3 linked regions of the Drosophila melanogaster genome follow. The protein of the gene in region 3 purifies or fractionates together with the protein of the main gene of each other region. This does not show direct contact. Each region holds a gene or a part of one and is shown on either strand. Other genes may lie near its edges.

Region 1 (10,133 bases), 7.3 Mb from region 3:
TACAACTTCCAGCGAGCGATTTATGATCATTTCACAAATACCACACGTAAGTGGAAAATGTAAAAAAATAAACGAAATGGTCGAGATACCAAAAAAAAAAAATAAAAAGGGGGTTATCTCAATGTCGTGGCTTACACCCAAAGCCTTTTAATGCGGCGGAAATTCATGAGAATGAAGTTGGAAACTCCAGCAATGTCATGTCGCAATATTCTCTGAATTTTTTGTTGGATTTTTTGGATCCCTAGAATCTTATCAAGCCACTTCACAGGCTGGAGAAGTGGCCAGCAGATATAGATACAGATAGTAATCTGGCTTGTTGGACAACCCAATAATAATCGAACAAAATTAACGACAGATTCGCTAAAATCGCAGAGAATCGCCGACGACGATCCTCGAATTCGAATCGCGGCTCTGTTTGCAATCCCATCACGCAGTCGCAAATGGAATGGGTATAGCAATAGATATATAGATATAGATATATAGACTATATTGCCGATATGCTGAGTGCGTCATCGAAGAGCTTGCTAATCGAAAGAATTCCGTACCCTCAAATTGGCAGCACTAATTACTAATTTCAGTTGTCGCTGCCGGCAACGGAAGCAAGCGAAGAAGACAGCTCTTCTTTGGAGCAAATAAAAAAAATGACACTTTCCGATCATTATTAATGGGTTTGGTTATCAGAAAGTGTGGCAATGGAACGTTGACAATTTGCCAATGTCTGTGCCCGATTGTTTAAACAAATCGCAGCGCGCCGAGGTTTTCCAAAACACCAAGTAAGCCAATAATAACAATTTAACGTTTACAAACGAACAAGCGGCCTTTATCATCGGCATATAATCATCAGAGTTGTCGGTCTGATAACAGCCATACGGTGCTGGCTCATAAATGGCTTTCGATTTCGCCAGTTAAACGCTAATGTGGCCAAGAGGATCGGCTACCGCAGGATTAGCAAGCATTGCTAAACTGAATCATATTTAACATATATCTATAGAGCCATAGAATTGGCTGATATAGCGGCTATATCGATATAATGTAATGCGTACAAAATGGCTGATTAAATCTCAAACACTGATAACACACAACGAGTGCCCAAATTTGGCAAATGATTTACATTATTCGGCAATTTTCCCAATGAGCGATTGAGATTGTGTACGATACGCTGCACTCACAGGTGACAGATGGTTGCTAATTGTTGTTGCTGTTTCGCGAATATTTGGGCGCACCAACTATGAATAACGAATGTGTGTGTGTCGCCCGAAAATCAGTAAACTAATAACCGTTTCCGCTGAGCGATTCTCGAATACTGAGCGCCAAAGGGAGCACTCCATAAATCGGTTGTGTTGTGTTCTGGCGCTGTGTGAGCGGTGATAAGGAAAGTTTACTCCCATCGCGAATGTGTGTGTAAGATAACAACAAAGTCGGTTTACAATTAGCAAACTGCAGTGTTGACTATCGAATTGGGATGTGTTATAAATAAATAGCAATACTTATATGGCATAAATAATTGGAAACCCATTTTGTTCACTCACGGATAGGCGTTGTGGTTCCGCAAAAAAAAAGCTGACGAAGGTCCATTTCCTTATCAGCATTTTAAATAGCGCGCCAATTTTTTAAGCTGTTCACACTGCGCTTGCATGGAAGTAGGGCTTAAGTTATGGCAACTCGTTCTTTACTCAATGGTTTCAGTCCTTAGGTCTTATATAAGATATAAAAAGTATTTAGAAGTTATTATACATATTTTTATTAACATTTTTCTACATTCCTAGTCACATCGATAGCTAATCGCTGTCATCGATAGTCCCGTGATGTTTTTTGAGCTGCTTCCACTGCGGTCACACTAATCGAAGCATTTTCGTCCGCTCGTCACTTTTCTGCGTAATTCTTTTCGTATATTTCGATTAAACATAAATAAATAAGCGTAATTATAAATATATGAAATACTAAATTGTTGTAAGTAACGTTCGCTGCATAATAAGAACAAACACCGAGTCGCCGCGTTGTAAATAGAACACCCAAGCAAAATGGATTTTTCGCAACCAACCCGTGTAATGGGCTATTGGGAGAAATGAAGAAAAAAAAACGTCATATGTACAAAACTGCCAATGGCAAAGTGTTAGTTCGCGCATTATGTACCAAGCATGTCGGTTGGAGTCGGAAAATATAATATACTATATGTGCGCTTGGATATTTGTCCTTTTTCCCCATTATGCATATTGCCTTTGGGACATTTCTTTCTCTTGGCCCCCTCTCTCTATCCAAGATGGCCGTCGTAACAGTATTTTCGTTCAAACTGTTGTTGTTATTGTGTTTGTTATTGAAAAGAGAATGAAAAAACAAGCGAAAGAGTTATGCAAATTATGCACAAAAAAAGTAGTGTGTTGAACAAAAAGACGATCAGTAAATAAGTGGAGAAACGAACTATGATTACATTTTATTTACAACCACCAGAAAGCGATGACACATCGAGTGCGTTGGTGTGCGTGCGCGAGTGTGTGTGTGTGTGCGAGTGACGATGTCTGTGGATTTTCGCGCATGTTTGGAGTCCTCCCCCTCGCCAAAAGTAGAATTGATCGATTTTTAGCCAAGTCGAGTCCCCGAACTGGCCGATTCCTTGCATATATGTACTTCCCGTTCCCCCATAGGCCAACAACACCTATTACTGGGCAAACCAGTTCTGCCAATGCACAAGAAATCTCGTTTTATTTTCTTCGTTGTGCTTGTGTAGTTGTTTTTGTTTTTTTTTTACAGTTTTCCGTTTTGGGCTTTTTTGCTGCGGCATTCTTTTAGATATTCAAGACCCGTTGCGATTTCCCAGAATGTGTGGAAAGCGCTCCTGACACTGCAAATTGTTTCTATTATCTAGTGACGAGCTTTTTGCACGTTTCCAGCAGTGGGTTAAAGAAAGGCAAAGCAAAAAGTCTCGGCACTTAACGGTTAGTCCCTGCATTCGATGCCCGTCGTGGGGTTAAAGCTGGAGTTCAAAGCTTTTTTGGCTATTGTTTTCCTTTTTCCTCTCTCTTTTTGCACTTGAAATTGCAATTGCATTTGCTCGCCGGCGCGTGTGTGAGTGTGTGCTAATCAATGAAACACGCAAATAAACAAGCAAAGGCAAGTGCAAGGTCTGTTTGCCAGAGCGGGAGAGAGAGAATAAGCAAGCGAATTCAAACGAAAGGGGGAGTGAGAGGAAGAGAAAGATCCTTAAAATTCAAGACCTTACTGTGTGTGTGTGTGTGTTCGTTGCAGCCCTGGTCTATGCCCCTTGCCAACTATCTCGCTCTCACGCCCACCCAAAACCATTTAAAATTCAAATATTAAATTAACTTGAGCAAGTGCAACAATGAGAATCCCATATGATTTTTACTGATTTAGTAACATTTCTGGTGTGGCGTGCGACCCAAACGCCCCCTTCCCATTGTTTTCATTCCCCCATATGGCACACACCCACAGCTTTACGGTTACAATGCGCATGGCTTTGTGTTTCGGAATGCCTGGTTGCCACAACACAAACAGTGTTGACTTCGTTCGATGGTTTAAGGGACCCCCCACTATCTTAACCCCACTTTGCTGCCCACGCTCCACTTTTCCATTAATACCCGTGACGCTCGCAACGCTTTTCATCGATTTTCCTGGGATATATTTAGATGCGCAGTTAGAGCGCAGCCAAACATCCACCCACAATATTCAAATGATGAGCGCCAAGTGCTCGAATACAGCTGATAAGCCCTATAGGAGTAGTTCAAGTCGCGTCCAGCCGAATGACTCACGGCTATATTGAGTGGCCGTTTCGAATCGGATTCGGCTGTGAACCCGTTTGGTCAGTTTTTGCTTGTCTTTTTTTTTTGCCATATTTGCTAGTTCAAAAAAATCGTTAAATATCATTTGGCCAAAAATAATTTGGAAACGTCATTTCCTAGACCGTGATGTGTGAGCGTGTCTCTCACAGGTGGGGCCATGAAATTAGTAATGAATTCGAGATATTTAGGTCTTGTTTATGTTTTCATAACACCTATTAATTTAATGATCATATAGCCAATAACTATTTAGCACAAATAAAAGAAACAGCTGAATTAGTTTTTATGCTATCAATTGCACCTCTGGTGCCCGTGTTTGTTCTGCTTCTTCGCTCGCACGCTCTTTCGCAGCCTTATTTACCTATAAGAAGTTGCTTGAACTACCGTTAAGTCTGGCTAATTGGCTTTGCCTTGTCGTGGATTTTCCTTCGCTAGTATATTCGTTGGCAACGCGTCAGTTGTCCATCGTTATCAAGTACGCGAGATATGCGTTAGCTATTTGTTTCCGATTGCTGTTGTTATATTGCGTGCTATACCCATGATTTGGCCACCTTGAGTTGATTAAAAAGGTTTTGCAGTCAAAAAAACATGGGCACTAAACAAACAAATAGCGCACCCATATGATTTCTGCCTAATTCCATGTGAAATCGACCCTTGAACTCACCGATGACGAGTGCAGTTCGATTGCAGGGGTTACCAAATGCTGCTGCTGCTTCGCTTCAAGCATTGCCAAAGTTTCGATTATTATTTTTTTTTTGCCCACTTATTCGAGGCACGGGCAACACAAAAATGTGTGCCAGAAACCAAAGACACGATGATAATGATGATGCTCCGCTTTGGGAGAATGAAACAATATAATGACTAGACGAAAGGTGAGCATAGGAAACAGAAATACTGCTGCCAAAAAAATTCAAGAAAATGTGGGTGACTCGCCTGCCCTCCATGAGAACTCAAACGAAACTTGCTGGCATTTTTGGCATTTAGGTTTTGCGAAACCAATTTCCTGTCCCAGGTACATCAAATCATCATATGATTATACAGTAGAAGTTCGATAGATGAACCAAAAATTATACATAACTCTGTCTAACGAAATGGTTTGCAAGATATGTATATAGGAAATATATCTTGTATCTGACTGTGGTAAGAACTGCTGTACACATATTGAATGTCTACCTTTTCCATTGCAGAATTGCAAGAGTTGAAGGCGGATAACCGAATTGCGAACGAGAGAAGCAAAACAAGCCAAATCGGAAAACAGTATGAAAATGGTGTTGTCGCAGCGGCAGCGCGAGGAGCTGTAAGTCCCAGTCGTCTTATATAACTATTACCCCATGAACTAATCCTTTTAATTGTATCGCCATCAGTAACCAAGCGATTGCCGATTATCTGGGCTCAAATGGCTACGCCGACTCATTGGAGACCTTCCGCAAGGAGGCCGATCTCAGCACAGAAGTGGAAAAGAAATTTGGCGGACTGTTGGAAAAGAAGTGGACGTCCGTGATTCGGCTGCAGAAGAAAGTGATGGAACTAGAGGCTAAGCTCACTGAAGCTGAGAAGGAGGTCATCGAGGGGGCGCCCACAAAGAACAAACGGACGCCTGGCGAGTGGATACCTCGGCCGCCAGAGAAGTTCTCCCTGACCGGTCATCGTGCCAGCATAACGAGGGTAAGTTGAGAAGTTAACAAATTAATAAACATTTTACATTTACATTTTATAATTGCAGGTAATTTTCCACCCCATCTTTGCTCTTATGGTTTCCGCATCCGAAGACGCCACCATTAGGATTTGGGACTTCGAAACTGGCGAGTACGAACGCAGCCTGAAGGGACACACGGACTCTGTGCAGGATGTCGCATTTGATGCCCAGGGCAAGCTTTTGGGTAAGATCTTGCCATAGTTGAATATATAGTAAAACCAATTTAATTTTGCTTTAATTGCAACAGCCTCCTGCAGCGCGGACTTATCCATCAAATTGTGGGATTTCCAGCAGAGCTACGAGTGTATCAAAACTATGCATGGTCACGATCACAATGTCTCGTCGGTGGCCTTTGTGCCGGCCGGAGATTATGTACTCTCTGCATCCCGGGACCGCACTATTAAAATGTGGGAGGTGGCCACAGGGTGAGTTAAAGAAAAAGGACATTTCGTTTAAGGGATAATATGACCAACATGTGACTTCTCATCCTCAGCTACTGTGTGAAAACCTACACAGGCCATCGAGAGTGGGTGCGAATGGTGCGAGTGCACATCGAAGGCAGCATCTTTGCCACATGCTCAAATGATCAGACAATACGTGTTTGGTTGACGAATTCAAAAGACTGCAAGGTGAGCATTGCCATGTGCAGCTTCTGCTGGCAATGAAGAGTCTAACGACGGTTTGATTCTTCTGCAGGTTGAATTACGCGATCATGAGCATACTGTGGAGTGCATTGCCTGGGCGCCGGAAGCCGCAGCCTCTGCGATAAACGAGGCAGCCGGAGCAGACAACAAGAAGGGCCATCACCAGGGCCCGTTCCTGGCCTCCGGCTCTCGCGACAAAACCATTCGCATTTGGGACGTGAGCGTCGGCCTGTGCCTGCTTACCCTGAGTGGCCATGACAATTGGGTGCGTGGCCTGGCATTCCATCCTGGTGGCAAATACTTGGTGTCGGCCAGCGATGACAAGACCATTCGGGTGTGGGACTTGCGCAACAAGCGATGCATGAAGACGCTATACGCGCATCAGCATTTCTGCACCTCCATAGGTGGGTCCACACAAGGCATTGTGTGTATGAACTATATATTTTAATTGTCATCCGTTTTCTTGCAGATTTTCACAAAGCGCATCCGTACGTAATTAGCGGTAGCGTAGATCAAACAGTAAAGGTCTGGGAATGTCGTTAAATTAAGGAAGAATCGGCAAGGGTTCTGCTTACTTCTCAATTTAAACATAAATAAAGCTAATATATTAAATCACATACCCACACAACACGCCCATACACGAGCAGTCTCGGCCACCTCCGCGGAAGTTTATTTTCCAGACGCTTTCTGTGTCAGCGTAAAATGAACATATTGTATTTTAAAACTGAATGAAACTGGCGAAAACGAATTATTTATTTAATTGTACGACCTTCTAACTAAACTAACTACCTACCTACTATACAAAGTACATAAACAAAATGCCCAAAAAATACATACATACGATTATCGTTTAAAGTTAATGCCGCCCTCCTTTATAAACCAGCATTGGCTCGCTAAGCAAACGGGCATCCTAACTTGAATTTGTCGTAGAATTCGATGAGAATGGAACGTATTTACAATGGTAAACTGTATTTCATTCGACGGCTAATACCATGTGTACCATGTGGCGCAGAAATGTTTTTCCATCCACAAATGTACCCGAGCACTCGCACTCACTTGAAAAAAATTCAATGACGTTGATGTGTTTTAGTGTTTGCAAAATGTATGCATAATAATAGCTAAATTCACTGGAAAATTTATATAAGCAAGGAAGTATTTCAACATCTAAGAAAACTTGTACTCACAAAGAGAAGTTTGTTAATGAGAATTACTTGGAGAGGAGTGCAACATGCTTTTTATCATAATTGAGGTAGTTTTAACGATAACAGTTTGCTTCTTTTAACCATATTCACTTTACACAATTCCTGTTTTGTGTTCTTTTTCGCGAAAGGATCTTCAACAAAAACAAATACCTTTCAAAATGCTTACAAATTTAAGTTGGCTTTAAGTTCAAAATATAATTTACTTTTACGGTTTACATAGTAGAAAAATGCTGCAAATTTATTTGTAATTGTTTATTTAAGAGCAACGGCAAAAAATATACCTATATATAAATATACTATAAATAATTATTTGTGCAAAACCGAGAAATCATATAGATGTATCTGAGAAAACAAAAACAAAACGCAGAAAAATCCAACAATTAGAAGAAACGATTTTTCGGATTCAAAGAAATCTAATTATTGAAAACAATAAAAACTTGCTTCTTCAAGAAACCAGAAAAAAATATGTTTATACCCAGAACTAAAAATGGTGGATTTCTGTCAAGGGTATAATTAATGTATTGCCTGCGATGTCAAATTTTGAAAGCATTTATTATACTCAAAAATGCAACATTTGATGCACCTTATAAATGTAAGACAACAAAAAACAAAATGCGCACTAAAGCCACGACAACTCAATGCATAATTCGCAAAACGCTTTCTTCTCAACCAAGCTGCTTTAGAAAGATGGCCTCAGATGAAAACCCCTAGATACTGGCGATGTATAGAAATCGCTTAATATATATATATTACAAAAGTACTATAAATAAAACCGCACTGTGTTTTATTACTCTAAACGGTTTATTGATAGGAATAGAACAGGAGGTACTAAGGCACAGGCTTGTCTTGTTCTTGATCCACATTTTGGGATTCCTTTGTAGCTTCGGTGCTATCTAATTCCACTGCATTTGTGTCCTCTGCGCTTTTCGCTTCTGTATTTGAATTCACTGCCTCTTCATTCGAAGTTTCTTGGGTGTTATTGTCGTCGGATTCCTTGGATGCCACCTGTTGTCCTTCCTCAGGGCTACTTTCTGCCTTTTCTTCTGTGGGCTCTTCCTCGGAATCTGTGTTACTATCCTCTGAGGCTTCCTTAGCCAGTGGCTTCTTGTCCTCTCTCGGCTTTTTCGCCCTCTGTTTTCTCTTCAACCGTTTGGCTCGTTTCTTAGCAGTCTTTTCTTCGGCCGCGCGTCTGTTGTCGTCCAACTTCTGCTGGTAAGCTTCATCTGCTGCTTCGCGGGCACTCTGGTTCTGGATGTTCTTCTGGCGGGCGTACTCCTTGCGTCGCAAGTGGCGGTACACATGGAACTCGCCGGAACCCGCTCCAGCACTGCTTCCCATCACATTCCGCACGAACGTGGGCACCGAGGACATGAAGTCCCGTTCGCGACGCTGCTCCGGTATGACCACGGGCTTATCCTGGCAATAAAAGGTTTATTAATATGAATGTCCACCCAGCTTTCCAATGCAAACACATACCGGATTCTTCATGAGCTTCTCCAGCTTCAGCCTCTGTAGATCTGTCGCGGTTTTGATGAACGGCCGCAGAGGCTTGTCCTTCTCATCGGAATCGCTTTCTCCAGATCCCGCATTCTTTTTCTTTTTCTTTGCCTTCTGTTCGGGCTCTTTTACCAAATTCTTTATAAGCGACATGTTTGTTTGGTTAAAAACAGTATTTTATGTGTGGCTGTATTACAAGTCGTAAAAAATACACACCGAATTAAAAAAAAAACTTAACGGGGACTATGCTTGATCTGTAAAATTGTATGCGTCAAATTAGAGTCGATAAGTTAGCGGCGATGGCGGAACGGTGGAATTTCAGGAAAATTTCAATTTTTGAGATAATTTCATAACAGTAGGTCCAGCTATGAACCAACCCATCCTTAAAACAGGCCCTTTACATTAATTAATTTTTAAAAATTGTTGAATAGAAATTCACCTTCAAATAAAATAAAAAAAACCTACCCATGTTACAAATTTCACTGTTCCTCAACGACGCTAATATGACGCACTTTATAAAAAGGCTTAAAAATTTGTTTTAAATAAAAATAAGTTTGTATTGTGCATAAATTACCTTTTATTAAACAGAACACAATTGTTGTTAAAATAAATGCAATCATATATATTGGTATCGTTTTTGCGTGTGCATCCCTATCACTAGTTGTTGTCCATCTGCAATTATACACAGCAAATAACTAAATACTAATTAAAATACTGCAACCAAGCCAATGCCAGCGGTATATTTAAATGTTCACCCGGTGGTCACACTCTCAGCCGTTAACAACATAACGCGTTATTTTCTAGCGAATCGGCCGATTTATATCCTCGATAAGTAATGTGCTGAAAAGAACAGAACTAGCAAAGACCCACTTGTCATAGATGCGTACGAGATCGTTAACCAAACAACAATCACGTTCGCAATCGACCAGAAAGACACTGAAAATCGAACCGAAATCACCCCGAGCTCGGCGAGCGGTTAGAGTTGTGTAACACGGACGGACGGGCCCAAAAAAAAAAGAAACGTGAACTAGAACTCTGTGTCTCCTCCGCTGGTTTTGTTGAGTTTTTGGCGAGCAGGTGAAACAAAAGCATGGCGCTTGAAACGGAGGCGAAGAATTCAAATGCAACGGCCACGGGCGATGCAACAGCAACAGCAACAAAGGCCAGCGGCAAGGCCAAGGAGAACAACAACACGGCCGGCGGCAAAAAGAACCTGAATCCGAATTCGAATCAGCAGAATTCGAATCAGAACTTGGTCAATGGCAATGGCACGGCTGCCGACGGGCCGGCTGCGAAGAAGAAA
Region 2 (6,914 bases), on a different chromosome or scaffold from region 3:
GGGTTGATGGTCCGCATGCAAATGGCTTACATCGATCGACCAAAAGGCCAGCCAAACAGGTACCATCCATTTGGCGACGAGTTGGAGTTGGAAGACCGTCCTTTCGTCCAAAGTGCCAGCCAAAAATTGAGACTTCAAGGCTGAAGAGGACACGCCATGGGCGTAGTTTCGGTCTGGATCTGTATCTTTAAATTATACTATATATACATTGCATATATGCAGACGGACGGATGAAAGACTTGGTAATGAGTAACACACCCAATTAGTTGGAAGGTAATGTCTTAAACGCCACTCCCGCAAATCAAAAATTTAGCATTATTACTTTTGGTAAAATAAGGTAAGATAATATACATTATATATGTATAATTGAAATAAGAGCACATTTTTATAAACTATCATTTAGAAATATTAAAATATGATGAAATTAACAAGAGCAAGTACTAATGTAATAAATGTATCTTACAAATTGAATGTTGTATATCTATTAGAAACATGGTGATCCATAGGAATCCAATGAAATGCCTGATACAATATAGAATTTCTAGTTTTGCCTGCTTGGGAACTGGTCTACAGGTGATTGGTGGGGGAGGGGAGGGGGGGGGGTTGGTTTGGTGTAGCCATTTCCGAGGAGCTACGCCCATGGGATGGAAAACTGTGTCATCCCGATGCTTCCAGCGGCCAAGCGGCGGAGCATGCCGGTAATATATGTACATAATATATGCATAAATATGCTAAGCGGCCACGCAATGACCCAAAAGCCGCTGTCCTTGGGAGATGCGATCGATCCGCTCCGATCGGAGTAGGAAAGAAATAAAAAATAATGAAAATATAATCAGCTATCGGAGATCGGAGATGCGGCCAAACCAGACGGGCTGGGAAACTAGTTTAGGTTGGCGGCGTGTAGTGGCTAATTAACAATACACTTTTACTCTCGCCCGATCCCATGTGGAAACCAGGTGGAGGTGGTTCTTGGAAGCCCGGCCAGACGTCTAAATCTGAAATTCAATTGGCAAATTAATTTGTAAACTAATCGCGCTGGCATCTCGACTTCGGTGCGACAGGTTTGGCCTGGCAATTAGCGCGGGGAAAAAGCGAAGATATTAAGTATCCGCTCATCGGTTTGCCAACTCCCGCCCATGTGCAAGATTTGTCGGCCTGGAGCAAAAAGTTGAGCAGTCGAAGATTTGGCAATTCAAGGTTTTTACTGCAGCATGGGGGATCATCGGAGCGATTCCAGTTCGAGTCCGGTTTATCAATGCGGTTACGAAACGAGCAACTCGGACTACAGTTTTTGGGTCGTCGAATGCTGGCATTTAAATTCAGATGTGCAGATGTGCAGATGCGCCAAATCGAATCGAAATAAAATCCCCAAAAGTTTCATGGGCGCTTTAACCCCATGAAAACCTCTTCCTTGGCACTTTGGATACGGTATCTTTCAGATACTTTCAGATACTTTCGGATACATTCAGATACGACCGAAGGCACGTACTACTGTTGGATTCGCTTTGCGCCCCGCGTTGCAGCAACATCTGGCATTGGTGGCACAAATTATGGCATACATTGTGGAAAGACACATCGCCTAAGTGCGCTTTCTATTTCCACGGCGGGTTCTGGTGATTTCACTGGCCCAAAGACGCGCATTGAATGTAATTGGCACTTTGGAGGGGCAATTAAAACACGACATATCTACATACATATGTACATACGTATGTATGTACATACTTTCAGAACCCTGAACGTATTTTGTAAGCTCAGTAGTTTTGAGTCACTATGGGAATTTCAGCGGTATTGGTAATTTTTTACAAGAATAGTCTTGCTTACCTTTCTTAATTAATTAATTTTTACATTTTGTAGTACTTCACACTCAGCATTTTAATCAAACAAATGCACAGGTTGTGGGCATTAATTTTAGCTGAATTTTAGACCTAAAAGGATTATTTAATTTTGTATGCATATGGGACATCAGTGTATTATCATTAAGGTACTGTGTATCAATTCGAATTTACCTACAGATACCTCTCTTGAATCTATAAATTAAAAGTTACGCTTCAGAAAGCAACACTGATATTTCATAGTGCATGTGTGTGAGTGTGCAAAACTTTTTTATGATAACTGTAAGCCACCTATAACATAACAATTTTAAAATGCGGCATATCTCTGTATTAACATACTTTTTACCTATTATTAATTATGGTAATATAATTATATATTAATCTAATATATTTATAATTAATATTAATAATTAATAATTAATAATTAATAATATATAATATAATATATATATATATATATATATATATATATTCAGTTTGAAGCTCTATTTAAGCATGATTTGTAGATTTCTTCCATAAATAAATATAAATATTAATAAATATAAAGTGTGTTGCAGTGTATGTGAAATGTAACTGTAACTAACAGCGTTCTGCTAAACGCAGTAGTGCTGCCAGATCGCTGCGCTAGTGCATGGAAAGACTGGAACTATCGCTGTCACGACAGCTGTTCACAGCTATCGCCGTACAGTAGTAAAATCTTATTCTTGTGTTTAAACTTGTGTTAATTAAGAATTCGGAATCCCGCTAAGAATCCTAGTCTTCCACACCCTTTGGGCATCTATGTAAACCAGCCGCGCCCATTATCTCCTTCGTGTGCCAATAACTGTGCGAAGTAACTGGCCGTGGGCGATGTTCCATCTCTAGTTAGTCAAAACATTAAAAGTCAGTCGCATTTTTACATTGTTGAAAAATGATGATTTAAGTACTTAAAAAGCAGCCGAACAACGAGTAAAGACAGTCAAGAGGTGGGTTTTTGTGCATTTCATGGAAAAATCACAAGAGCAGTGAGAGAAGGAAGTTGAAAAACGCAGCCAGGGCGAAAAGACGTCACAGTCCAATCGCTGGATTATTGATTTTTTTTTTTTGGCCGAGCAAAGGAAAGTAAAGTGACGGCCACTCACTGGGTTACCGGGAAATGTGCTCCACTTGGCGATAGGAGAACATATGAGTTGGCTGCGCCACGCCAAGCGAGCGGTGGAGAACCACACAGCGCACCCACTTTCTTTGCTTCTGGCCAGCAGTTGGTGACATCATCAAAGCTACCAATATTGGCGACCATTAATCATGCATCCCCCTTGCAGAGAACTTGGCCCGCCAGAGATCTAGAGTCCCGTACCGAACGCCCACTCGAACAGCAAATCGCAGCAGCTAATCGCCCCGAGAAATGGATCGCAAGGCTGAGCTGGAACGCAAGAAGGCCAAGTTGGCCGCCCTGCGCGAGGAGAAGGATCGCCGGCGTCGCGAGAAGGAGATCAAGGACATGGAGGAGGCGGCCGGTCGCATTGGCGGCGGAGCAGGCATCGACAAGGATCAGCGCAAGTGGGTTTGCCATAAGCTTCTCCTCAGAGCTGACTCAGCACCGCCATCATCCAACTTTCGTTCGCCTCTTTCAGGGATCTCGACGAAATGCTGTCATCGCTGGGCGTGGCCCCCGTCTCCGAGGTCCTTTCCTCACTCTCCTCCGTCAACTCGATGACTTCGGACAACTCGAACACACAGACCCCCGACGCCAGCCTCCAAGCCACTGTCAATGGCCAGAGGTAAGCCAGTTCATAGCAAAAGCTTTGTGAGTAGAATTACCATCTTAAGCAGAAGTTCGCAGGGCATATTAGACATATTCAGGTCATATAGGTATAGACATTTGATTCCCTAAGTTTTTTTTGCTAAACAACTGTAGAGACAGATTCCCCATCTACAAGCTTAACATAAAAAAATATCAGTAGTCAAAATTGGAATCCTGGTTAGAGAGCGTGGCAATTTTTACAATTCAATTTTAGCATTAGCCGTTTTAAAAATTAGTATTACACAGATTAGACAATGGGCTTAGTACTGATTAAGTTTTAACGATCAATGTATTGTACTATTGCTATTGCCATTTAACCGATTCCTAACTAATACCAATTTCTTATGTGCACCCCCCACCAGCGGCGGAAAGAAACAGCCCCTCAACCTAAGCGTCTACAATGTGCAGGCTACGAACATTCCACCAAAAGAGACACTGGTCTACACAAAGCAGACCCAGACGACCAGTACCGGAGGCGGAAACGGCGATGGTGCGTATTGCCCCCGGGGCGGGGATCTGGTTGGGCTCTACCGTAACCACTATCCATAGTTTGACTCCATCTCTCGCTACTGTTACCGTTCTTATTCTTGGTCTCGTTGTTAAATGTGTTTGGCTTCCCTGCTGTTTCCCAGACTCCGTCACCGTCCGCCGGAGGAGCAGTGTATCTATCTGTCCCTCTCACTCTCTCTGTCCATGTCTGTGCTCCAAACTCTCCCTTTCTGTCTGGTGCTAGCTTACACCGCTGCATGCTGACCCTGTTTCCGCGCTTTGTTCCCCATCAAGTGCCCCCAACTCCCGTCCCTCCCAGCAGAGAAAAAAAACAAAGATGCAAACAGAAACCATAATCCATAGTGAAATAAAATAACAAATACAGTTCTTTCTTGCCACTCCTCGCCTCTGTCAGGATATATGGAGGACTGGTGGCGTCCACGTAAAGGTACTAATCTTAATTTTAAGCAAACTCCACACCTAATCACACATCAGCACACGAAAGTTATTGTGACAAAACGAAGCGGCATACACATGTGAATACACGAAGAGCTCCATGTGAAGCGCCCACACGACTTAGTCTAAATTTGCTGTAAGGCTCTGCAGGCAGAAGGATGTCAGCATCGTACATGCGTAGACAATTCGGTGGACTATCTACTTAACTGCTTGAATTTAGACAGCTTCCTTTTGCTTTGCCTCGGCCCAATTTGGTTGCAATGCCCAAGAAACGTAGTTTCTGGTCGATTGATCATCTTATGACAGATTTCTCTTGATTTGGTCAATCCGCATTATTGGTTTTTGGTTCCTTCAGTGCTCTCAATTTAGCCCATCTATCCCAGCAATTGTTTTTGTTAGTTTATTTTATAAATGTTCGAAACTGGAAAAGCTCAGACACGATTTCAAAAACCATTCGTCACTATTTTGTATACTATGCAATATTCAGCACACTATCTGAACACTTCAATCCGAACTTTTAAAAATATAGGTTGTAAATGGTACTGCAACGCAATGTGTCATGTTTATCCCCTCTTTAAACACGCCTTTTTATAATTATTACTTTAATTTTTGTCGCGTTTTTGTAAAGGTTATTGGTAGCACTAAGCATTACACCAATTGGCCTTGTTTCGCTTCATTAACGCCGCAGTCTCGACTCATTTCCGCATGGCCACCGCTGTCCAGCATCAATCTTTCCATCCACATCCATCCATGTCCACATCCGAACCCATAGATCATTAGAGTGTAAACCGTTCGAGCGCATTTAATAATTTGTCTATTTACTTTCTCTTTCTTCCCTCTTAACTGTTTTTGGCACGCACGAAAAAAAAACTGCAGCTCATGCTACGGATTATTATGGTGAGTAGTCCTCGTTGTATGCGTAATTCCGTACTTAGAACTTTTCAGCCTCCGTAGCGGTCTGTGTGCCACTCGTAAGAAGCGTATCTATACCCGTAGTCCTATATATTACCATTACCTTGAAACCTCTCTATGCTGAACTTCTCTATATACTCACATTATGTATTTGTGTAGTTTGCTCAATATCTATCCACAACACGATCTATGCTCCTTAGAGTTTTTCTGACTTGCTTAGTGTACGCTTGATATGGTAATCCTATCCTAGAATATATATATGCCCTATGTCCTAGCTTCTCGTAGTTGCTTCTTCGATCTTTGTTTCCGATTTGGTCCTTTGATTTGCATCCCAATTGGGACTATATACATATATTTATTACATTTTATATGATTTATATGACATTTGTTTCAATTAGCTCGATAACTACCTGAAAAAAGATTCGTATCAGTTCGTATCAGATCTTAGAGACCTTGTGTGAAAATCGTTCATTGAATGGAAAATGAAAAACAAATTTGTAATCTCCACCCAATTTTTAAGTTCTTTATTCGTTTAAGTACTTTTCGTAATCGCTTTAAGTTGAGTTTTAACATAATTTTTTTTTTTGTAATTTTTTGTCTTAATTTATGTATGACCCATTATAAGTATTGAGGGTTCTTCTAAAACATGCATACCAATGGTATAATTTAGATTTTTTGTACTTTTTAGCATAACCGATCTATTACTTAAATATTTGAATTCGATTTATTTTCCCAAGAGTATTTTTAAGTCTATGCTACTGTCTAAGAATCAAATGCATAACCCAAACATACACACGTATAAAAGAATCTTCATTTGTAAGCACGAATAGCCTTTATCTTAATATCGTTTGTATGATTGCGTATCAGATATATTAGCTAAACATCCTAAGTTGTATTATAAACACTTTCTCCTCCCCTCGCTACCTTTTGTGTTCCATCATATGAGCCTGGCTTGTGTGCTAATAGTACTTATACATATACCCTATTTAGTCATATTTTACATATTCGTGTAATAATTTCGCCAAGCAACAAGTGTTGAGCACACTAAAAACCAACATTTTTCACTTCTTACCGTATGCATTTTGTTTAAACATTGACTATCGATTTGTCGATTTAAATGGGCGGTATGCTAAAGCCAAAGTCATGTTTTTTTTTTTTTTTTGCGTTTTGATTTGAAGAATCACAAACTACCAAATACCAGCAATGTTTGTACAATATATTTATTTCTTTATATTTCTTCAAGATGAATACAATCTTAATCCGGGTTTAGAGTGGGAGGATGAATTCACAGGTAGGTACAGGCCAGCCGCCCAAACCAAAATATTGAACAGTGACGGAATCGACATGAAGCAAAATAGGAACGTTCAAATTCTCACTTTGCCAGCGAAACGAAATCAGAATTCAGAGCATCACAAATCACAGAAAAGCCAACGCGTTTAAAA
Region 3 (6,056 bases):
CTCACTCGCGACTGCGAGTCGGAGAGCTTGATGATCTGCTGACTCTTACGCAGATCCCAAATCACGCAGCGTGTGCTGAACACGGAGGCTAGAATGTGCTGCACCTGCCTGTTCCATGCTACGTTCTTTACGTCCTCCAGTGGTTGTGTCTTGGTGCCGGGACTCATGCTTGTTTCCGGGTTGTTGAGGTCCCAGATTAGGATTTCCGATTCGGAGGCGCATGAGGCCAGCAGGTTGTTCTGGAAGGGATTGAAGTCCAACCCGCTAACGGCGCCTGTGTGCTTGTCCTGGCGCTTCAGAAGCGGCTCCTCCTTGCCTGCAAGCAGCTTGTCGGCTGAGTATATGTTGATCTGCCCCGCCTCGCAGCCGCCCACAATCAGGCCACTGGGGTGTGGTCCCACTGGGGACCAGATGAGTTTTTGGAACCTGCGGGAGGAAAAGCCGGTTATGTGAACGACTTGATGCACAAATTGAAAGCCATAACTCACTTGTACTGGCTGGAAACGCTGGCCCTCAGCTCCAGATCGTATGTGGCATCGCTGAAGTTCGGTGAGTACAACTCCAGAGTGGAATTGGCATTGGAATCGAATTGTTGGGCGGCGGTGCCGGCGGCCAAGAGAATCTGCTGCTGCTGCGCCGGCGACCAGGCGATGTTCACCGTCTTTTGCAGTTCCTTGATCTTCATCTTGCAATGTCCCTTCGTGCTGCTCGTGTAAATAAAGCGAAAAAACACAAATATTATGGGAGGTACAAGTTCAGAACGAAATTGTGTCACGTCCAATTGGAGTAAGCCCCGTCATCACTTTTCCCATTGGCTTCCCCATTGCAGATGTGGCCCAGTAGTGCCCGCCGGCCTTTAAGTATCTTTAATTATGCTAATTGCGCAACTTACACACAATTGTGAATGCAATTTGTACTCGCTTGCGCTGCAACGAGACTTTTTGATCTTGAATTTAACTGGAATCGTTAATATTTTTAAGAACCGTAGGAACGGCCAGTGTGACCGTGCTCTGAGCCAACGTAATATACCACAGGGCACGCACTGAAATACCAAATGCGTGCGACCAGAATATACTGCGAGTTTAACGGTATGCAATTTAAATATTCCGTTTCAATGTGCAATTTTAAAAATAGTTTTTATCAGTATACATTATTAAAAATGATAGTCGAAATTATTTAAAGATTTATTTTCCATCGCATTTTATATTCGTAAACTAGCTTCAGCACTTTTAATATTAATATTTATTATGAACTCATTTTAAATTCCAGATCACTTTGCATTTATTTTTTGACTGGAACTGGACTCGAATGTAGATCTCTTTATTATAGGTATCTTTCATAAATATAAGCTATGTTTATTTAATACGCATGGTATGCATCCACTCATTTGGCAGACGATATGGCCGCCACACGCTGCTCCACCTTGGCCACCTTGCTGTTGATAGTCTCCAGATTCTGGGCGAAAGTCTCCTGTACGGAATGCAGCAGCTCCTTGTTGTTCACCAAGCTAGTGGTGATGGTTCCCTGCTTCTGCTCAATCTCTGCGATGATCTTGGCGAAATTGTTTGCTGCAGAGCAAGTTGATTAGTTACAGAAACAAGCACAATGCTAAAATGCTAAATAGAATTGCTTACCATATTTATGGAGGGCCTCGAGGGCTTGCATGCGTTCGATGACGTGCGGCAGTATTTCCACCACTGGCTCCGTGCGCTTCGCGATGTCGTATAGTTCCGTAATCTTCTGATCTCGTTTGGCGTCCTGGGCACTGCCGCTGGACTTTTCGGCGATAGCATCCATCTTGCCGGCCAGCGAGGTCAGGCGCTGCTCGATGGTGTCCAGTTTATCAGGCTGTATCAGGGCCGCCTTGGTGCTTAGATGACGCACTGCCTCTAGTACATTGGTGGTGTTGGTGGCGGCGGTAAGGCGGCTCAACTTGTCCGGCTGAGCGCCCAGCACCTTCTCCAGCTGCGAGATTCGCTGCTCTAGACTGGCTACGCGGGCCGTGGCCGCCAGATCGGTGCCAGGCGTGGGTATGGCTGTGAGAACGCCGGACTGCTTGAACTCCTCCACCTGGCTAATGAGTGCTTTCACCTGCTTACTTCCAGGCGTCTGCTCCTTGCCCAGCACTTGCTCCAGCTTCAGCGACTCCAGCACCTTTCGGGCCGTGCTGATAACCGTGGCCACCGCATCGTACGACTGCTTCTCCTCGTCGGCTACCTTGCGGTCCACCTGCAAGGCGGCCACCTCGTTCAGAAGCTCGTTCATCTCGATCTGCAGGCGCTGGCACTTCTGCACCGGCGTCTCCTTCTCGCCCTGGCCAACCAGCTCGTAGTCGCTGGAGCCGCGCGTATCGTAACCCCGGCACATGCGTCGTCCAATGCGATCCGTGAAGTCCACACTCCCCTCGACCGTTGCTCCGCTGAAGCGCTTGTGAGCGACGCTCGGCGAGATGTGCAGTCGCTCGATGGCTTCGTTCTCCGGCTCCTCTTCGTAGTAGTCGGATGTATCGAGCTCCGGGTCATCTGGAGTTTCGTACACGTCCGGCTGGTCATAAGCCTAAAAACATAAAGTACATATATGTATAAATGGGCAAAAACGAAAGCTTAAACGTCACTGCCATGGTGCGGAGTTCCGACTTACTATTCCCGGTAGGTTCTGGAACTTGGGATCGGCCATTATTGTGGGCACGTCGACGGCGGTGTTTGGAATCCTTTGGCAACGAAATAATTATAAACCTTCAAAAATCCTTTTTTACAACAATCAATTCGATCTGATGTCATAAAAAAAGTTACCGTGCGCGGTTACCAAACAAATGCCAAAGTGCAGTTGTCATTGGAGTATTTATAAACAGAGGTATCTAAAAAGTCATTTAAAAAAGACAGTTATTACTTGTAACGGCTAATAAGCTAAGAGTAAATAGTATTGCAAAATATATCATCGATATAAATAAATTGTACTTGCACATTGTACTTTGTTAACTGGATTCATAGATGCAAACATTTATAAAAATAAATTAAAGCTTTTTGTGCTAATTTAAACCTATTTTGATTTTAGGAAAAACGATATACATTTAAAATCATTCATAAGCAATAGGTAAATAATTCCATGATCGACTTCCAATTGGTAAATCAATGAAGGTACACTTTTCTTCTGGTATTTTATAGACCAGTGAGGATAGAAAAAAGGCACGGTCCTACTGTACCTAGCACAGGTACTAAGTTAGTCAACACTGTAGTTTTCGTGTAGTTTGCGGGCGAAGCGAGTGGGCGGTGGGAGCTGCTAGTTGGTTGTACTAATCTTAATATTTTGCATCCGAAAACAATAGAGTAATGTCTGGCTTAGAGTACGGGTTGCATAGATACGATGATCTGCCGCTGGAGGTGAGCATATAATGTGAACGGACTGCCGCGGTCCCGTGACCAATCCATCATTTCGAGCGTATCTATATCTGCATATTCATATACCTGTTAGGGCAGTCAGCTGATTTTGTTTTTTTCTGTTCCGCCCCCAGATTGTTTTGAAGATTTTCAGCTATCTCGGCTACTCGGACTTACAAGCGGCAGGATCCACCTGCCAGCGATGGCATGCGGCGCTGGATCAGGCGGAATTTAACCAGCGCACGCGAGTCTGCTTCTCCAAGGTGGTGCTATCGGATCAATTGAGTCCTGGAGTGGATCTGATGCGCTGCGAGCGGCGTTTCCAGCACTTCCTGTTCGAGGACGTGACACTGGGACAAGTAAAGGAATTGATGCGCTTCATGGGCAGGACCGCTCAGTCCCTGGCTCTGGACAATGTGGATTTGAATGACAAACAGTTCTACGGCATGCTGGGCGTGCTGCCCCATCTCCACTCGCTGTCGCTGAAGCGCTGTCTGCCGCTGTTCATGTCCGGCTCTTTCCTGGACTCTTACAACAACTCCTGTCCTGACCTAAACGACCTGGCAAGCAATCTGGCCGGCATCAAGGAGCTGACGCTGTGCGAGAACCAATACCTCACGGATGCCATTCTTATGCGTCTCACATCGTTCATGCCCAGTCTGGAAGCGATTAACATGTCCGGCTGTCACATAGCCTTTCACAATGCTATTCATCGCAGATTTTACCCTGCCACCAGCTCCTCGGATCACGTTTTGCCCAGCGAGTCTGTGCTCACGTTCAAGTTCATCCTCACCATTCTGAACCTGCAGCGACGTACGTTGCGCGTGTTGAACTTTAGCCACACCCTAATTGGCCAGGCTTTGTTGGCCCTTTGCGACCTCAATCTCCAACTGCAGCGCCTCTATTTGGCCGGATGCAGACAGCTTAACTGCACCACAATCCTGAACTTTCTAGCCACACAGCCCCAGTTGTGTGCCCTCGATTTGTCGGCCACAATGTGTGTTAACGATGAAAATCTGGCCGCCTTGGTACAAACTAATCCGCAGCTGGAGCACTTGAAGGTGAACGGCTGCCTGAGCATTACAAATGCTGGTGCCATCCACTTGGCCAAGCTAAAGTGTCTCAAAAGTCTGGACATCTCAAACTGCGATAACTTGACAAGCAGCGGCATCATAGAAGGCATCGCTAGCGAGGAGAATCCGGTAATACAGGAGCTGAACGTTTCATACCTTCAGATCTGCGAGGAATGCATCAAGGCAATTGCCAGTAACCTACGATGTCTGCGATCACTGCACTTGAATCACTGCGTCAATGGAGCCACCGATGAGGCTATCCAGTCGGTCATCGGCCAGCTGCGATGGCTGCGCGAGCTCTCTTTAGAGCACTGCAGTGGGGTAAGACTGAAAGTCGCGATAAATATAAGTTCTGCCTTGTAATTTGGTTTTATTTAAATATAGTTAACCGATGCAGCCCTCACAGGTATAAACATATCCAAGCTGGAAATGAGTCGTAAGCAGTCGGGTTCGCAGGTGTCGTCGATGGACAACTTCTACCCGCCGTACTCGAACACGCTGGCGGAACGAGACAGCCTGGCGGGTTCCCTGCAGTCCATTAAGATATCGCTCAGGAGCAAGGCCGAGGATGAGATTGTTCGGGATGCCCGGCGAAAGCAAGCCATGCTGGCCGCCTACGAAATGAACCTGATACGAGAGGATGATTTCGAGGGTCACAACATTCAGCAGTTGCGGGGATTGCGATCGCTAAACTTGCGTGGCTGCAATAAGATCAGTGATGTATCCCTGAAATATGGGCTGAAGCACATCGAGCTGAGGCGGCTAATGCTCTCGAATTGCCAGCAGATTTCCCTGCTGGGCATGGAGGCGATGGCCAGCAGTTGCCCATCGATTGAGGAGCTCGACCTATCTGACTGCTACAACATTACGGACAAGACCATCCAGGTGGTAACGTCTAAGTTGCCCCGCCTGAAGGCTCTGCACATCAGCGGTTGCAGCCAGCTGACGGAGCACACGCTGGACGCCATTATCACCAACTGCAGCTGCCTGCAAACGCTGTCAATCTATCGATGTCGGAGTATGTACACAGACTTGGAGGAGCGACTATCCGGCGTGAAGACGTTGCGCAACCTGAACATGGACAATCTGACGAGCATCGACAACGCCGAGTTTTTCCGCCTGAAAAAGCGACTCGATTACTGATACTTTGCCGCCATCTTCATTGTCTTGATGTTGTACTACTTTCAGCTGTACAACTTCCGCTAGTCAATCGCCCCAGCCGTCGGAACAACCCCCCACATATATTTATTTTTATCTATCGGCCCCCAGCAGCTGGGCTATAGTTGTGAAAGCTTTAGTCAAATATACATACATATACATATATATGCAGACATATATGTATTTGCATATATGTGCACTTAAATTTACACTAACCGCGCACGTTAGATTAGCAAAATTACAAGTCTCGATTGTAATGCAATTAAATTTTCGTACGTAACGTTTGTCCGCATTCAACTGTGATTTTTTGTAAGGTACGAATCGTATGATAAGTGTACACGATTGTAAATTATGTGATCGGTTGCCAAAATTAAAGTTGTTTGTTTGATTGTTGAGTATTTAACTTGATTTGATTCGTTAGTAGTTATTAAATAGTTGAAAATTTGTT

Evidence for each region.
Region 1: the proteins of DCTN2-p50 (region 3) and Lis-1 purify together in Drosophila melanogaster (affinity purification with western blotting, with the first as the bait; one study listed by BioGRID). This does not show direct contact.
Region 2: the proteins of DCTN2-p50 (region 3) and sw purify together in Drosophila melanogaster (affinity purification with western blotting, with the first as the bait; one study listed by BioGRID). This does not show direct contact.

What each region holds. Positions count from the first base shown.
Region 1 is NT_033778.4:16,177,003-16,187,135, forward strand, and holds Lis-1 (Lissencephaly-1), read left to right. Parts: upstream 1-1,823; 5' UTR 1,824-1,950; intron 1,951-2,330; exon of another isoform or gene 2,331-2,370; intron 2,371-4,246; exon of another isoform or gene 4,247-4,803; intron 4,804-4,978; 5' UTR 4,979-5,050; coding exon 5,051-5,088; intron 5,089-5,155; coding exon 5,156-5,456; intron 5,457-5,514; coding exon 5,515-5,671; intron 5,672-5,734; coding exon 5,735-5,912; intron 5,913-5,980; coding exon 5,981-6,116; intron 6,117-6,183; coding exon 6,184-6,535; intron 6,536-6,600; coding exon 6,601-6,674; 3' UTR 6,675-8,101; downstream 8,102-10,133. Other genes in the region: CG8441 (uncharacterized protein), read right to left, coding at 8,162-8,749, 8,810-8,983; clu (clueless), read left to right, coding at 9,921-10,133. UniProt on the Drosophila melanogaster protein: Positively regulates the activity of the minus-end directed microtubule motor protein dynein. May enhance dynein-mediated microtubule sliding by targeting dynein to the microtubule plus end.
Region 2 is NC_004354.4:20,231,966-20,238,879, reverse strand, and holds the start of sw (short wing), read left to right. Parts: upstream 1-2,681; 5' UTR 2,682-2,797; intron 2,798-2,929; exon of another isoform or gene 2,930-3,076; intron 3,077-3,133; 5' UTR 3,134-3,216; coding exon 3,217-3,371; intron 3,372-3,445; coding exon 3,446-3,592; intron 3,593-3,977; coding exon 3,978-4,105; intron 4,106-4,489; coding exon 4,490-4,552; intron 4,553-5,436; coding exon 5,437-5,457; intron 5,458-6,715; coding exon 6,716-6,763; intron 6,764-6,914. UniProt on the Drosophila melanogaster protein: Acts as one of several non-catalytic accessory components of the cytoplasmic dynein 1 complex that are thought to be involved in linking dynein to cargos and to adapter proteins that regulate dynein function.
Region 3 is NT_033778.4:8,888,574-8,894,629, reverse strand, and holds DCTN2-p50 (dynactin 2, p50 subunit), read right to left. Parts: upstream 2,799-6,056; 5' UTR 2,677-2,798; coding exon 2,641-2,676; intron 2,557-2,640; coding exon 1,635-2,556; intron 1,569-1,634; coding exon 1,384-1,568; 3' UTR 1,291-1,383; downstream 1-1,290. Other genes in the region: Sec31 (secretory 31), read right to left, coding at 1-426, 489-685; CG8272 (uncharacterized protein), read left to right, coding at 3,330-3,380, 3,512-4,771, 4,835-5,593. UniProt on the Drosophila melanogaster protein: Modulates cytoplasmic dynein binding to an organelle, and plays a role in prometaphase chromosome alignment and spindle organization during mitosis. May play a role in synapse formation during brain development.